Linked DNA regions of Caenorhabditis elegans. The protein of the gene in region 1 interacts with the protein of each later gene in a pairwise test. Each region holds a gene or a part of one and is shown in the gene's direction. Other genes may lie near its edges.

The links.
Region 2: the proteins of ags-3 (region 1) and dlat-1 interact in a two-hybrid assay, tested with the Caenorhabditis elegans proteins (one study listed by BioGRID).

The regions. Positions count from the first base shown.
Region 1 is NC_003284.9:5,298,577-5,306,287, reverse strand, and holds the start of ags-3 (Tetratricopeptide repeat protein 28), read left to right. Parts: upstream 1-2,687; 5' UTR 2,688-2,709; coding exon of another isoform or gene 2,710-2,781; 5' UTR 2,782-2,814; intron 2,815-3,616; coding exon of another isoform or gene 3,617-3,696; intron 3,697-4,497; exon of another isoform or gene 4,498-4,518; intron 4,519-4,525; coding exon of another isoform or gene 4,526-4,669; intron 4,670-4,727; coding exon of another isoform or gene 4,728-4,832; intron 4,833-5,069; coding exon of another isoform or gene 5,070-5,154; intron 5,155-5,918; coding exon of another isoform or gene 5,919-6,073; intron 6,074-6,160; coding exon of another isoform or gene 6,161-6,241; intron 6,242-6,513; coding exon of another isoform or gene 6,514-6,637; intron 6,638-6,694; coding exon of another isoform or gene 6,695-6,814; intron 6,815-7,407; coding exon of another isoform or gene 7,408-7,538; exon of another isoform or gene 7,539-7,561; intron 7,562-7,592; exon of another isoform or gene 7,593-7,623; intron 7,624-7,656; exon of another isoform or gene 7,657-7,711. Other genes in the region: ift-81 (Intraflagellar transport protein 81 homolog), read right to left, coding at 1-127, 337-462, 789-875, 923-1,027, 1,243-1,335, 2,164-2,313, 2,357-2,447, 2,710-2,781 and 9 more.
Region 2 is NC_003283.11:14,442,676-14,449,972, reverse strand, and holds dlat-1 (Dihydrolipoyllysine-residue acetyltransferase component of pyruvate dehydrogenase complex, mitochondrial), read left to right. Parts: upstream 1-2,682; 5' UTR 2,683-2,685; coding exon 2,686-2,899; intron 2,900-2,958; coding exon 2,959-3,685; intron 3,686-3,752; coding exon 3,753-4,205; intron 4,206-4,254; coding exon 4,255-4,384; 3' UTR 4,385-4,650; downstream 4,651-7,297. Other genes in the region: F23B12.7 (uncharacterized protein), read right to left, coding at 1-93, 146-259; fntb-1 (Protein farnesyltransferase subunit beta), read right to left, coding at 530-711, 755-1,023, 1,158-1,354, 1,579-1,890, 1,937-2,095, 2,145-2,231; F23B12.4 (ShKT domain-containing protein), read right to left, coding at 4,772-4,896, 4,944-5,094, 5,149-5,185, 5,233-5,308, 6,592-6,646, 6,793-6,843. UniProt on the Caenorhabditis elegans protein: The pyruvate dehydrogenase complex catalyzes the overall conversion of pyruvate to acetyl-CoA and CO(2).

The DNA.
Region 1 (7,711 bases):
TAGTCTCGAAAATGGTGAGTAGTCCCTTCCAAAGTTCAGCTTGCATGCGGCTCTCATCGAAATCGCCCATTTCCTCGATTTCAGTGTCAATTCGTTGCTCTTTTTCGGCAGCTTTAGATAGCAGTTCCTGGAAGAATTAAAACTGAAAAGAGTTCATATGCATCACGTTTTTCTTTTAAAGAATTGGTTCACTCAGCAAACATCAAATTTTTTCAATGTCTGCATACCGATTATAAGGAAAAAAAAATCAAAAATCACGAGTTTCGCATGCTTTCAAGTTTGCATTGTTACGCTCTTATCATAGTTGTTTTCACGTGCTGAAAATTGTCAACTCACTTCCAAGTTTTCTCCTGAAACCCCTTCCATTTTGTTTTTATCGTCCAACAAAATCGCCAGCTCATTTTTCAACTCAGGTATTCTGTCATCACAATCTCTTACAGTTGTTTCAAGTTCTTTTACATTCTGAAAATGAGCATGCTATCATCTGTGGGGAAAATCTTTTAAAAAACTCAATTTGTTTAAAATGACCAAAAATCGTAGTAGAACTTATGTGCAATCAAAAAATGGTAAAAACTTTTTGTCTCTGCAATTGTATACTCTAATTATGTTTTAACTATTTGTTTTTGAAAATTATAAGGTTTCATCTTCAGAAACACTCGAAATTTTTCTAAACTTTGTCTTAATGTTTTAAAAAACGAAAAAAATTTTAAAGTGTTGTATCATATCCGGTATCAAAAGTGAATTTAGATCGAATCCCCTCTGACAATACTCCAAATTCAAGTCCGTACCTCAACCAATCTCTTATTATCACGCTCCAGTTCAGCCATAAATTGGTCTGCTTCCATTTTGATTGTAGCCAGCTGGCTCATTTTTTGCTGAATTTCTCGATCAATCAGAATCTGTCAATTAAGTTGTCACTTACCTGCACAACATACTTCACCTCGTCTCTCTTTGTCCGTTGATCTGTTATCTTATCTTTTCGTTCATCCAGTGCAGCCATCATGTCTTTCATATCCGATTTTATGTCCTTAATTCAAATTTTGAAACTTTACAACTATCGTTCGACTTTTTCTTTTGAATCTAAACTTTTGCATGTTCTCTTATTCTCCAAACTCACTTTGAAAACTTTGATGTCTCAGTCAATTACATAAAAAATAAAAATAGTACCTTAGAGACATTTTTGGATTAAAGTTGAACCAAGAGTTTAGTCAGTTTCTTCAAAAAAAAACCCCCCTATCTTACCTCTGCATTATTTGTTTGCGGAGCTGCAGTTTTCGGACGATCGTATTTCGTTGGAACATTCAAAACTTCTACTATTTCTCCGCCAATACTTTCCTGGAAATAAGATTAGATAGACACATAAACCACAGAAATCTTGCAAAATCGGGAACGCAGGATAAAAATAATTTGGATTAGTAAACTTTGAAATATGATATTAAACTGTTACATGTTTTGTCTGTTGAAATAGGAGAGGTGTGTCAATTTCGTGTAGCAAAGTAGTTTAGAAAAAGGTGTGAGTAAATACATATGACACACGTTTTTTCTGCTTTGATCCTACCACTTGATCTTGCTGGAAGTAGTTTGCAAAAAAGTGAATTACTGTTTATTCTCTCTGCAACAATGGTGAAAAAAATGATTCGCGGAGCTTGGTCGAATTTGTTCTCTGATTCCAGGAGGTATAGGAAAGTAATTAAAATTATAAGTTCAAATTTTATGCAGTTAACGTATTTAATAAATTAAAAATGGTGATTATTTCTATCAGTATCGTTAAGCGTTTGTAAATATGTTACCATACGCAGCACTGTAGAAAATCATCACAGTTTCGGCAATTCTAATTTTTGACAATCAGCATTTTTAATCAAAAAATGCTTGGCAATCGACAATTGGGTAATATCAAACAGCGATTGCCGTAACTACAAATACATTTGAATGAAATTTTGCTATTATAATTCAGTGAGAGATTACATAAACTGCCATATGTTAGCAGAGGTATCTGATACATTTAAAAGTTTGATGTTGATAATGCACAAATAGTTTTTTTTTCATTATTAAACAGCTATCTGGAAAAAGATCACTAAAAACTTCAAGAATTCCAAAATATATTTTTGCCGTTTCGCGTTTTTTTTTCTATTCAACATTCAACTCAACAATCACGCAACTCACAATGTGCGTTTCCAATTTATTGTATCTTTTGGAAACAATGTCAATTGTTCTTTTAAGCACTGCCACCTCGGTATGCATCAACTCAATTTCCTTCCTTTTCTTTTTTTGTTCTTCACTTTTCACACGGTATTGCTCTAAATATTTTCGGTACTGAAAAAATAGTATTATACTGTTACAAATTATTTCGCCTCACCTGAACATTTGACACAACTTCCCCGCCCACTTTGTCTTTGAGATTGGTTTTACGCTCATCGACATCTTTCTCAATTTTCGCAAGTTCTTGCCTGAAAGTCACGTCCATTTGGTCGCAAATACGGTAGCTTCTAATTTCCTCAACTCTTGCAGTTTTTTGCAAACTTTCTAAGAATAAAGTGGTTTCGCTAATCTTTTTTTTGAGGAAATTGAGAAATGGGGTCAATCAAATGTTGAAATCCCATCACTTTTCTCGCTTTTTCCCATTTTCAATTTCCTACTCCCAGTGGAATAAATAGGACGTTTTGGAAAAAAAAAGCCGAAAAGAGAAGAAGCCCATCTACACTCACTTACCTCAATTCTTGCAATTTCTGCACCGCTGTTTCTTTTTTGCGTTCGAGAAGGGAAGTTTGATGACGAAACACACTGAAAACACCTCATATGTTTTTTTGAAAAAAGGTCAGTTTTGGGAAAATATAAAAAAAGATATTCTAATGTTTTACGTATAGGAAAAATACGATAAACGCAATTTCACAAGTTTTAAGTTCATCACCTGGTTTTGCTTGAAATGCTCTAGAAATGCCGAGTTAAAAAAAAACAAGTGACAAAAAACTAGGAAGTTAAATACCTTGGATCTATATTGAGCGTATTAAAGAGGGATTACCGTCAGTGGGTATTTGTTTAAACATTACCCAAATAAATTTAAAATTACCAAATATCATAGTGGAAGTATTCTAAAAAGGACAATTTTCCGAGCAGTCAAAAAATGGTAAAAACTCCGTCCTAATAATGAAAGTCAACAAAAATTTGTTCCACAGTTTTCAAATTTTAGTTATAATTCAGAAAATTTTTAAAAATCTTTTTTTTAGTTTTGAGAGTATTATGCTCATATTCGGTCATGTTAATTATGTGTCTTAAGACGAAATCCGCAATAAAGATACACTACTTTCATTATTTTTAATAATGATAAAAAAATTTAAAGTTTTTTGTCGAAGCATCCCTTACAAATTCATTTTCTTTTCTAAATAAATATCTAACACTCATAGAAGAATACGCAGATTGTGTCTCTTAGCAGCAACCATCATCATCCACATGTTTTTAAACCGAGTGATGCCACTGTCCGCTTTTAGATTTGCCTTTCCTTGTTCATTAGCAACCAGACCAGATTTCATATTTTTTGCACAAAGAACACAACAACAAATTTGAAATTTTCAGCAAGCACAATTTTAAAACATCTAGACCAAAATGAGCATGCACTTACCTCATGTTCTCATCAATATCCACTTCTTTGTGATCCCGTTCGTCTTCTAGTTTTCGAATTCGTTTTGACATTTCCTCTATCTGAATGATGAATTTAAAAATAACTCTTTCATGCTTTGATCAGCCATGTTTAAGATGACTTGGGAGTAAACAATTAACATATTTTTGGTCAGACGAAAATTGGAAAATTTTTTCGTCTCTCTGACGTCTGAAGCCATTGTTTCGCTCTTTGGCTCTGTTATTTGTTTTTGCCCACGTTTGAAAAAAGCTTTTGAATAGCTTTTAACTCTTAAAACATACAACTTTTTTCTGTAATTACATCATTTAATTTTGTAATCACCTTGGAAATAAGTGAAAAGTGCAGCCACGTTTAAGCTGGGCGACAATTTTATTTTGGATGTTTTTTTTTGTTAAATTTGGTATACATTTTCAAAAATAGCAAAATCATTCTAGCAGTTTTTTAACATCAATGTAGTTTTTATTCCCGCTAATTTTTGTTTACAAAAAATTTGAATTTCCTATCAAAATTTTTTTCAGAAAAACTTTATTGCCAAGTTTGTTTTCCTAGAAAATTTGAAAATCCCACAGAAAAAAATTCCCGAGAAAATTTTAATTTCCGCGAAAAAATTTTTCGGAATACTTAAATTTTTCGCCAAATTTTTTTCCCAGAAAATTTGAAGTTCCCGCTAAAACTTTTAATTTTCGCTAACAACTTGCTTTCGAAATTTTGTATTTCGGGCAACGTATCTGTGTAGTAGCCGTGCTCCAATAGCATTAATTCCTTTTTTAATGGTAATTTAATTAAAACGTGAGGTCAGTGTTGCATATATACTGTCGGCTGCACATTTATCATAAAATTCCCCAAAGTTAAATCTGCAGAGATCTTTAAGCCTGGTATCTTTAAGCTTACCTCAGAATTCATTCTACTGACATCCTCTTCCCGCACTGAATTGGACCTTGCCATGGCTGTCAGCTCTTTCAACTTGTTTTCCTTTGATTCAATTTCTTGAAACAACTTGCCATTCACTAAGTAAGTGTTCGTCGCAACTTCGTCCTAAGAAACCCTCTGTCGTCATTAGATAGGAGAAGACGAGAAAAATAAGTCTAGTAACCTCTAATTTTTCCATTAACGCCTGTTCATCCAATGTGTCAGCGACCGCTTGAGCCTCCGTCAAATTGATTTTCATTCGGTTGATTCTGGCTTCGATGTTCAGGACCTAAACAGAAAAGAATTTCTGATTTTTGATGCTCGCTGCGCCAAAAAAACGCAGTAAGAAGGAAGAAGCCGCACACTCGAGAACAAAAAAATTGCACTCGCTATTTCTGTACTTCTTCTTTCATTTTTTGTCAGGAGAGCAAAAAAAAATTACGTCGGAGATAAAGAAAAAGGAAAATATTTCACTCGGTCTATTTTTGATTTTGAGATAAAAAAATGGAATTCCCAAAGAACCAACCTTCTGCCGTTCTTGTTGTTTTTCAATTGCAAAATCTGCATATCGGGTTTTCTCTCCGCGTAATTGTAATGCAAGTTGCATTTGTCTGAAAACGATTGGCTATTTTGAAAAATGCCAAAATTTATGTTTTATTTTTATACTAAATTCATTTTATTTTATTTTTTATTTTTATAATTTACGCTAAAGAACTCCCTTACTTACGTTTATATGAAAAACGGACAATTTTCCGCAAATTTCTATCTGCACTTGCATAGCGCTCGTTATTTAGCAAAAAGCTTGTAAATTTATTGTTTTCTACTTAATTATGATTGAAGCAGACTTTATCGTACTTGTAGTAAAAATATGAGCCTTATATTCAATTTTTTTGACAATGAGTCAAACCAGAGCTTAAAAGCAATACCGATACAGGCCAAAAGCTTTGCTCAAAAATTGCTTTAAAAATATATTAGCAATGTAAATGTGTTAGAAACTAACAAGAATGATCGGAAATATCCATCTTATCAGCTTATAAAGTTTACAGCTCTAAAGTTTCAAGTGAGCTGTTTTTTTACCTTCAATGTTTTGAAATATGTAAAATCAGGCAAAATACAAATTTCAAAAAAAAATCAAAAAAAATAAAGAAAAAAATCTGAGCTCATTTGCCGGGCTTTTTCAGTTTTTCTGAGGTTTTCTAACACGATGAATTCAGATAGCAAATTCACTTGTCAGTGAAAACTTTTATTAGTTTTCTATTGTTAAACGAATTTTCCTTTTTTTCGCATAAAACAAGTAATTAATTAAATTTTGACTACATTTTCCTGTTATTTTTGAACAATTTTTTTTTGAAGTTTTCACATTATTTGAACTTACTTATCAAAATATGGTATATTCTGCACTTTCTTCTCGGTCTTCTCAATCTTTCGGAGCAAAATTTGTTTTTCTTTTTCCATTGACTTTAAATCCTCTTTTATGTCATCAAGCAAGAGTACGTCTGCCATTATTCCTTTCATTTCAGCATGGATTTCCTGTAGAAAAGTTGTTTTGTTTTTTTTTGTTTTTGCTTTTTTTTTGCTCATCCACTATCGTGACGACTAATCTCTCATGTGATTAACCTTAAACTCCATTGTCAACTCTCCAATCTCATTTTGCAGCTCTTCAATATCATAATCGAAGAATTCTCCAGGTACATCTGTCTGAAAATAATTAATTTACGTATTTCCAATTACAAAAAAGTGCGAAGCTGTTTAGCCATTTCTTGATTCATTAATTCAATGTGTACCTAGATCAGAGACTAACTAAACCAAAAACTTCGGCTGTCTTGCCTACTATATCAGCTATTCAAGCAGAACGATGCTTGTTCTCTATGTATCATTTTTCTTTTAAAAAAAATAATGACAACATCTATTTCTCTCCCCCCAGAAACCACTAGCATAACATGTCGGCTTTTGGCATAGCAATTCATTACCTTCATCAAATATTTTGACAAATATGCGCGCTCTTTCAAACCTTCTGAGTTTTCAAAAAGAAAAACCAGAAGAGGATAGAGGCTAGTCTTGCGACCTTCGACAATCCCTGCACGCCATTCTTCCCTGTAATATAATGTCAAATTAGATGCTGTTTAGTGATTGCCCTCGTTTTGCACGAACTGTTCATCCTGGTCTTGCGGTGGTCTGTAGCGGAGAATTCGGAGCATATTCAGAATACGAATTGCAGTCTCTTCAGCAGCCTCTCTTTTGATATCAATTCGGTCCGTGTCGGAAACCCAGCTGAACATTTTAAAAATTTTCGTTGTTCTTATATTATTAAATTCAATTTTATCAGTGAGAGCATTTATGTGTTTGTAAAAAATTTATTCAAATTTTTCTTAATTTTTTTATGACTTTTGAAATTTTGCAAACAAATAAGAAAGAACCGAATTTTTTGAACATTCTACCCAAGTGGACCTGCTGATACCCCTTTTCTTTATTGTTGTGTCAAATTTTTTTTAAATTTACACAGCAATCTATAAAATAATTACTTTCAATAGAAAGTTTAAGAAGATTGCTCAAAAACTGACATTAGTATCAGTTTGCCAACCAGCAAATTTAACACGCACATTGTAACTTTGTGCCTTTTTTTGAGCAACATCCAAAAGTACAATTAAAGGTAAAGCTATTTTTAGAAATTAAAAAAATTTATTTATATTTCTTTGAAAAATTCTTGAAAAAATAACGATACAATAATAATAAAGTAGCTGTTTTTTAATTGTCACAAAAAATGTAGCACACGTTTCTGGAAAATTTTTGTGAATATTTTAAACACCATAACTGTTTTTTCTCGATATCGCATTTTTTAAATTTCTTTTTTTGACTTAACCAACCTCAAAACATTACTCAAAATTTGGAGCAACTGCTGCGGTGGTAATTGGTCGAATTGAAGTGATGATAAGTTGAGATTGAACGGCTCTTCATTCAAAAAGTGGAGAATAAACCCTTGAATATCGTTCGACATCTTAAGGATACACCGTTAGTGATGACAATAAACGCGAGCTCGTCGAGCAGCGCTCCCGGTTACCAGGGCAACACGACGTAAATATATGTTGTTGCTGGGCTCTTTGCTATGTGAGTGTGAAATGTTTCAAGTAGTATTGAAAAGGGAACAGAAGTTGAACAAGTTGAATCAGT
Region 2 (7,297 bases), on another chromosome or scaffold:
ATGGGCCACCGGCTTGGCTGCTCCATTTTGTGCTTGCTTCTTCTTGTTCGTGTGCACGGCACCGCTCTCAAATTGAGCCATAATCTTTTCCGCCTGTAAAGAATAATTTTATTAATTAAAAATTCAAAAACAAAAAATCACTCACGCTAGCCAAATTATCTTCTTTCAGCTTCATCTTCTGTGCTTTTCCCAGCTTCTCCGTTGGCTGCTTCGGCTTTGGTTTCGCCGCCAGCTTCATTGGACGTTTTTTCAGCTTCATTACTGACAATGAATAATCTTAAATTGTTTAAAAATACAGTTTAATAAATATAGCACATTGACATAAAATAAATACTTAGAGAAAGTTAACTTGTTATGAAATTTTTGAAGCAGAAAACAAAATTTTGTTACAACTTTATACAAAAATATTTAAAAAATCGGGTGGAAAACATAATTTAGGCAAATATGAATTAAGAAACTCGTATATGGGACGTCTTTAAGAAGCGAGATTAACGAATGAAATCATATTGAAAGGATACATATCGAACGATCAATGAGAAGTGAAGAACTCCTTGGCAAATTGTTCAGAAGCAATGGTCACGTTGAAAACTGGATTAATTTCAGCAAGCATGTTAACATCACCACCAAGTATTTTCCCATCGCGAGCGAGAGAGTACTTCTGAGCAACTGATAATCCTGAGAGAACGTAGCATGTATGGTACAGGTCGACGGCTGAAAATTGAAGTCATTTTTAGTTATAAAAACTGGATCTTACGCTTGTCCGGCTTATCCTTGAATCCTCCATGTACTGATTGGCATCCAACAAGAATGTACTCTTCAAGCATTCGCGCCTCGAAAAGACCTTTCTCCAATGATCGGCCTTCTCGTTCCATTTCTCCGTCCAAAAGTGGGAAGATGGCACCTTGCCAGAAGCTGTAGCATCCATCAACAAGTTTATTTGTTCTTCCCTGGAAACCACCCTCAAATCGCATCTGCCGGCGCGTGGCCCAACGAAGGAGACCTTCCATATCAGCAAGACGGAATCTGGAAATCATCAGGATCAATGATCTTATTTCAAATTCTGAACTAACTTAATTGATATGATTTTATAAGAAAGAACATGTGGTGTTCACGTGATGGTCTGTCTCTTCTCATTTTCAAAGATAACAATAACTGACCTGTTTAACAGAACCAACGAGGCGACCGCGCAGAAAGTGTATCCTCCGTGTGCCTCTGTATACGGTTCTCCTCCGAAACCACCTTCAAAGCTCTGGCAGCTGATAATCCATTCGGCCACACCATTTGATATCTCATCCATAGGTAGGCCCACAATCTCGCATGTTGCTAGTGCACAGTAGGCGCTTCTCATATCGATCTGGAAATGTTCAATTTTCGATAGCTCAGAATTTTTATGATATCTCTGGCAAAAAAAACAACACTAGAGGCAATTCGTAGAGTGTGCAGCAAGGATCCTAAAGTTCTATGCAAGAGTACGTAGAAGTTTCACTCTGAGTAGGACTTCATCAAGTCTATGCAGGAGTTTCAGTACATTTAGAGCTTTTGAACCATTGCCAGAGATATTCATTAATAAATTATTACCTCTCCTCCCTCGTGCATATAAAATCCTCCGCTCTCATGCTTGCACTTCTTCAAAAAATTGAACAGTGTGACTCTGTTGATAGATCGTAGAGCTTCTTCTTTTTGTAGAGACACTAGGCACATGACAGCGGCATACGTTGGAGCCAAATGAGCCAATTGTCCTGGTCCTCCACCATAGCCACCTTCTGGATGTTCACAAGATTTAAGAAAAACAATAATGTTTTCGATAACATCGTTTGGAATTTCTGCGTCCAAAATTTTAAGTGCATTAACTCCCCAGTAGCACATCCATGAACGACTAGCGTCTAAGGTCTAAAAATTGTAATGTTAAAAACCACTTCTCACAAATCAAACTTACTGCGTAGCTCGACGGGCAGTTTTTGAGATATCTGAGCAAATACGAGGCATGTTTCTGACGGAAAATCGTCAATTCGGCGAGATCTTCGTCGCTTGTGGTCTTGAATGGTTCTAACACCAGTGAATTGTAGTTTTCGAAAAGCATTGTTTCAATACGTTTCTGAAATACTCATAATCGTACATGATAATTACATGGCGGGGTTACAAACCTGTTCAGTGCTTGAGTAGGTGAAATTATCATCGTCGTTACACTCATATTTCTCGTTGAACGAACGGAATGGGATCGAAGATGTCATCTCTGTTATAAAATACAATTTTTACAAAAAGAACACATTAGAAAACACACTTCTCTTGGGAAAACCTATCAAAAACATTTTTTTTCGTCGCGAAAATAAAAAAAAATCGGTGTGATAAACAAGGCGCGCGTGTTTAAAACGGAGTGTCGTTGTCCCCGTCTAATTTTTTCTTTTCTCATTTTTCTGAACACTCTTTTCTGATCAGGAATTCTGACGTTTTATCAGTCTGTGATAAAGTTTTTAATCAGTTATTGCAACAAAAACTCTACGAAAATCAGGCGAGTATGCAGAAAGATGATAAAGTTTTCTTGTAAATTAGCTTTTCATTCCATTTAAAATTTAATAACTTTACAATTTTATATTCTTTATTGTTGTTTGCAAATGTGTATTAAATATCTTATTTCTACGTTTTCTTACAAGTATAATTTTGTTTAAACTGAAAAATATTCAGGTAATGTCGAAGTTCCCGGTGCCGTTGAGAACGATTGGTGGGCTTCGTCCCTCGACAACAGCAGCTATTTCTGCCGCCAACATCGGTTTCACACAATCGAGTCGGGCCCTCAGCACCGGAGCTGCCGCCAAAAGCTCAGGACTTGTTGGACAAGTAGCTCGCCAATATCCAAATGCTGCAGCTTTCAGTATTAAACAAGTTCGCCTTTATAGCAGTGGTGAGACTTTTTTCCTATTTATATTTTCCAACTGGTTGTCCACTAATTCCTTTTTTCAGGAAATCTGCCAAAGCACAATCGGGTAGCTCTCCCAGCACTTTCTCCAACTATGGAACTCGGAACTGTTGTAAGCTGGCAGAAAAAAGAAGGAGATCAACTTAGTGAAGGAGATTTGCTCTGCGAGATTGAAACCGATAAGGCCACTATGGGATTCGAAACTCCGGAAGAAGGATATCTTGCCAAGATTCTCATCCAGGAAGGATCGAAGGATGTTCCAATTGGCAAGCTTCTCTGTATTATCGTCGACAACGAGGCTGACGTTGCTGCCTTCAAGGATTTCAAGGACGATGGTGCTTCATCTGGTGGATCCGCTCCAGCAGCCGAGAAAGCTCCAGAGCCAGCAAAACCAGCCGCTTCATCGCAACCATCTCCCCCAGCACAAATGTATCAAGCACCATCAGTTCCAAAGTCCGCACCAATTCCACACTCATCATCGGGAAGAGTTTCTGCTTCACCGTTCGCTAAGAAACTTGCTGCTGAAAATGGCCTTGACTTGAGCGGAGTTTCTGGAAGTGGACCAGGAGGACGTATTCTCGCTTCGGATCTTTCCCAGGCTCCAGCAAAGGGCGCTACTTCAACCACAACTCAAGCCGTATCTGGTCAAGATTATACCGATATTCCACTTTCGAACATGCGTAAGACAATTGCTAAGAGACTCACCGAAAGCAAATCAACGATTCCACATTATTATTTGACCAGCGAAATTCAATTGGATACACTTCTTCAGTGAGTTTTCTTAAATTATTAAAACAATAAACCCGAGTCTTCCTTTCCAAAAATTACCCTTATTCAGGGTTCGTGAAAAGCTCAACGGTCTTCTTGCAAAGGGAACATCGGGACAAGCCACTAAGATCTCAATCAATGACTTTATCATCAAAGCTTCTGCTCTTGCATGTCAACGAGTTCCAGAAGCCAACAGCTATTGGATGGACTCGTTCATTCGTGAGAATCATCACGTCGATGTTTCTGTAGCTGTCAGCACCCCAGCCGGTCTTATTACTCCAATTATCTTCAATGCTCACGCTAAGGGACTCGCCACGATTGCCTCAGAAATTGTAGAATTGGCGCAAAGAGCACGCGAAGGAAAATTGCAGCCTCATGAGTTCCAAGGAGGTACTTTCACCGTCTCGAACCTCGGAATGTTCGGATCTGTATCTGATTTCACCGCGATCATCAACCCACCACAATCATGCATTTTGGCTATCGGAGGAGCATCTGATAAGCTGGTCCCAGACGAGGCTGAAGGGTAAGAGTTTTTAGGAAATTTATCGAGTTATATAGTTTTTGTATTTCAGATATAAGAAGATTAAGACTATGAAGGTAACATTGTCATGCGATCACAGGACTGTTGATGGAGCTGTTGGAGCCGTCTGGCTTCGTCACTTCAAGGAGTTCCTCGAGAAGCCACACACGATGCTTCTCTAAACGATGGCTTTTTCATTGTTTCCCAATTCATCTCACCATCTTCCTCTACCCATTTTGACCCCCGAATTTACTCCGTAAAGTCTCGAAGTGATAGCGTATAACTAGGTCATAATTTTATTATTTCTTTCTTTCTTCACTACAGCCATTTTCGCTTTTATTTTTCTCATTTTTCATGGCATGTTTCCCAGTTAATCGTTTAATTTCTCCGGTAGTATGTGTAAGTGAATTATTAGAAGAAGTTTCCTTTAAAAAATGATTTATTATTTTTGTCTGTCATACAGAAATTTCAGAAACTCGTAGTGTGTTTGGAAAAGCCTAGCGGATCTTTAGTAATAGTGAGCAAAATGTTGAGAGACCCTAGGAAACAATATGCTTCAAGAAACGAATTCAATGACGACGACACAGTCCGCATGTTCTTGCGCAGAACGCCGTTAAGTATTGCTGATGGGATGGTGAAGCACAGAACTGACGCCACTGACTGCATCTTCCTTGAGGATCACGATCAGCGCATTCTGAAGATTCAAAAAGATTCGACAATATCCTAGATCTAGAAACATACGTCCGCCACCGAAAGCCGGCTGTGGCTGCTGGAATACATTTTGCCGCTGAGCAGCAAAACTGTTACTCTGTCCACGTCTTCTTGAAATGAACACATTTTGACGATTAAATGGAGATTGTGGCTGTTGAGCAACAATTCGCTGTCGTGGACGCTGTAAAATTGCAATTATAATATAGATCAGAGAGTAAAAGAAAATATAAAATACCGCAGGAATTGGTCGGAATGTTTGTTGGAACGTTGGTCTGGAAAAAATCAATATTACCGACATTACAATATGTGAAAAACGAACTGTTGTGTGAATGTAGCTTGTGTTGTCGGTGCAGCAGTCACTTGAGCATCTCCAGAAGATCCACGTTGGAAGCCATCTGAACAAGGCAACTAGGACTAGAACACAGGAAAATGAACGCGCTACCACGGAAACCGAAAAACTCAGACATCACTCAACATGCTAAATCAATCAAAAACTGAGCTTTCAAAATATGTTCCAAGAATTCAAAAAACACATTCATTCAACTCAATAATAATATCGTAGCTTCGAAATTTTCTGAAACGCGTTCTCAAAGGGACACAGATTTGTTCCGATGGGTCTTACCACGAATACAAATACAACAGAAATTGAAAAAAAAAATACTGAGATAAATACTGAAACATTATACCTTGCCGTAAAGATAATGCACCAGCGGGTCTCGAAACTATCAAACCTTCGCAGCTACAGTAACCCAAGAATTTAGTTTTTTTTTGTTGCAAAATTTGGCGAGTTTTTCATGATTTTTCAAGAAATTTATAGTTTTAACATTTATAAAATTAATTGAAAATTTAAATACAGAAGGGAGAAAATAGTAAAACGCTTGCGGGTACGGTGGCTACGAAGTTTCGATCGTGTCGAGAGAGGCCCCACGAAAAGGGGAGCAGAACGAAAAGGGGATCTGCAAAAAGGGGATCTGCGAAAAGGGGAGATACGAAAAGGGGAGATACGAAAAGGGGAGCAACGAAAAGGGGATCTGGCACTGTGCCAAACGCTATTTTTCTCGAAGAAAACGATACAACGATGCTCCGATGTTACGCGTCGCGTGTTGTTAAGCGTATCTTCTAGAAGAAAATTTCAAAAATCAACGTGCGTTGCGTGAGAAAAATTGCGTTTTGTGCGTTTGGCACAGTGCCAGCTCCCCTTTTCTAAAACTCGCCAAATTTTGCAAAAAAAAACTAAATTCTTGGGTTACTGTAGCTGCGAAGGTTTGATAGTTTCGAGACCCGCTGGTGCATTATCTTTACGGCAAGGTGCTCCCCTTTTCGTATCTCCCCTTTTCGTATCTCCCCTTTTCGCAGATCCCCTTTTTGCAGATCCCCTTTTTGTTCTGCTCCCCTTTTCGTGGGGCCTCTGTCGAGACTGCATTTTTGAGCGTGAAATTTTTTCTAGATTTTCTTCAATCATCTAAAGAGTGTGTATAAATACGCGTATTTATGCAAAACCGTTCTTAAAAACCAATTAACATAAATTTCCATAATTTTTCCCGTGGTGAGACCCATCTCAATAAATCCATGCGTCTTTAGGTAGAAGTTTCGGAAAACGTTGAATGTACAATAATAACTATAAATTAATCTAAATCTGTCTACATCTTACACATACGTCTATGCATGATTTCCATACCTGCCACTGGAATAATTCTCGACATATGTGGTGTCGTCGATGCAGGAGACTGTGGCTGAACGTGAACAAACGGTTAAAGGAGCAAAGAAACAAAGAATGAGAGAAAAATCATGTGCAATATAACTATTTTCTGGTGCTGAAAGTGTGTGCGTCTGTGTGGCTGAAAAATATAAAAACGAGTGCGGCGAAAAAACTCTTGACCTGTTGGAATTGCTGTTGTTGTGGAAGAGATTGCTCCAGTGCTTGGGCTCCCTGAATAATTAATTTTTGGAAAGTTTTGTGAAGAAGTTAAAATAATAGAGGCAAGACAAAATATCGATTAAAGCGTTTAAGAATAACTGGAGTATTGTAGTGAAATGCAACATTGTGAAAAAAAAACATAAAATATTACCAGGTTGCAATATTGTGCGTTTTTTTAAAATTTATGTGCCTTTAAGTTCTACAGTAACCCACTCCCATTGTTTCGCAATATTCGTCATGCATAAAATATCGTAAACTCAGTAACAATCATCTCTACAGGCGCCAATTTTATAAATTTGGTTATTTGATGTAGAAAATTATGTTAATAGAATTTCAAAATCTAAAGTGCACAGAGAAAGAGAACATCTTCTTAAGTTAAAGGCGTACAAATTTTCCACGGCCTGGATTTGAAAGTGTTTTCGTGGCGAGACCGGACAGCAAATCTAAAAACACAAAATTTCACAAC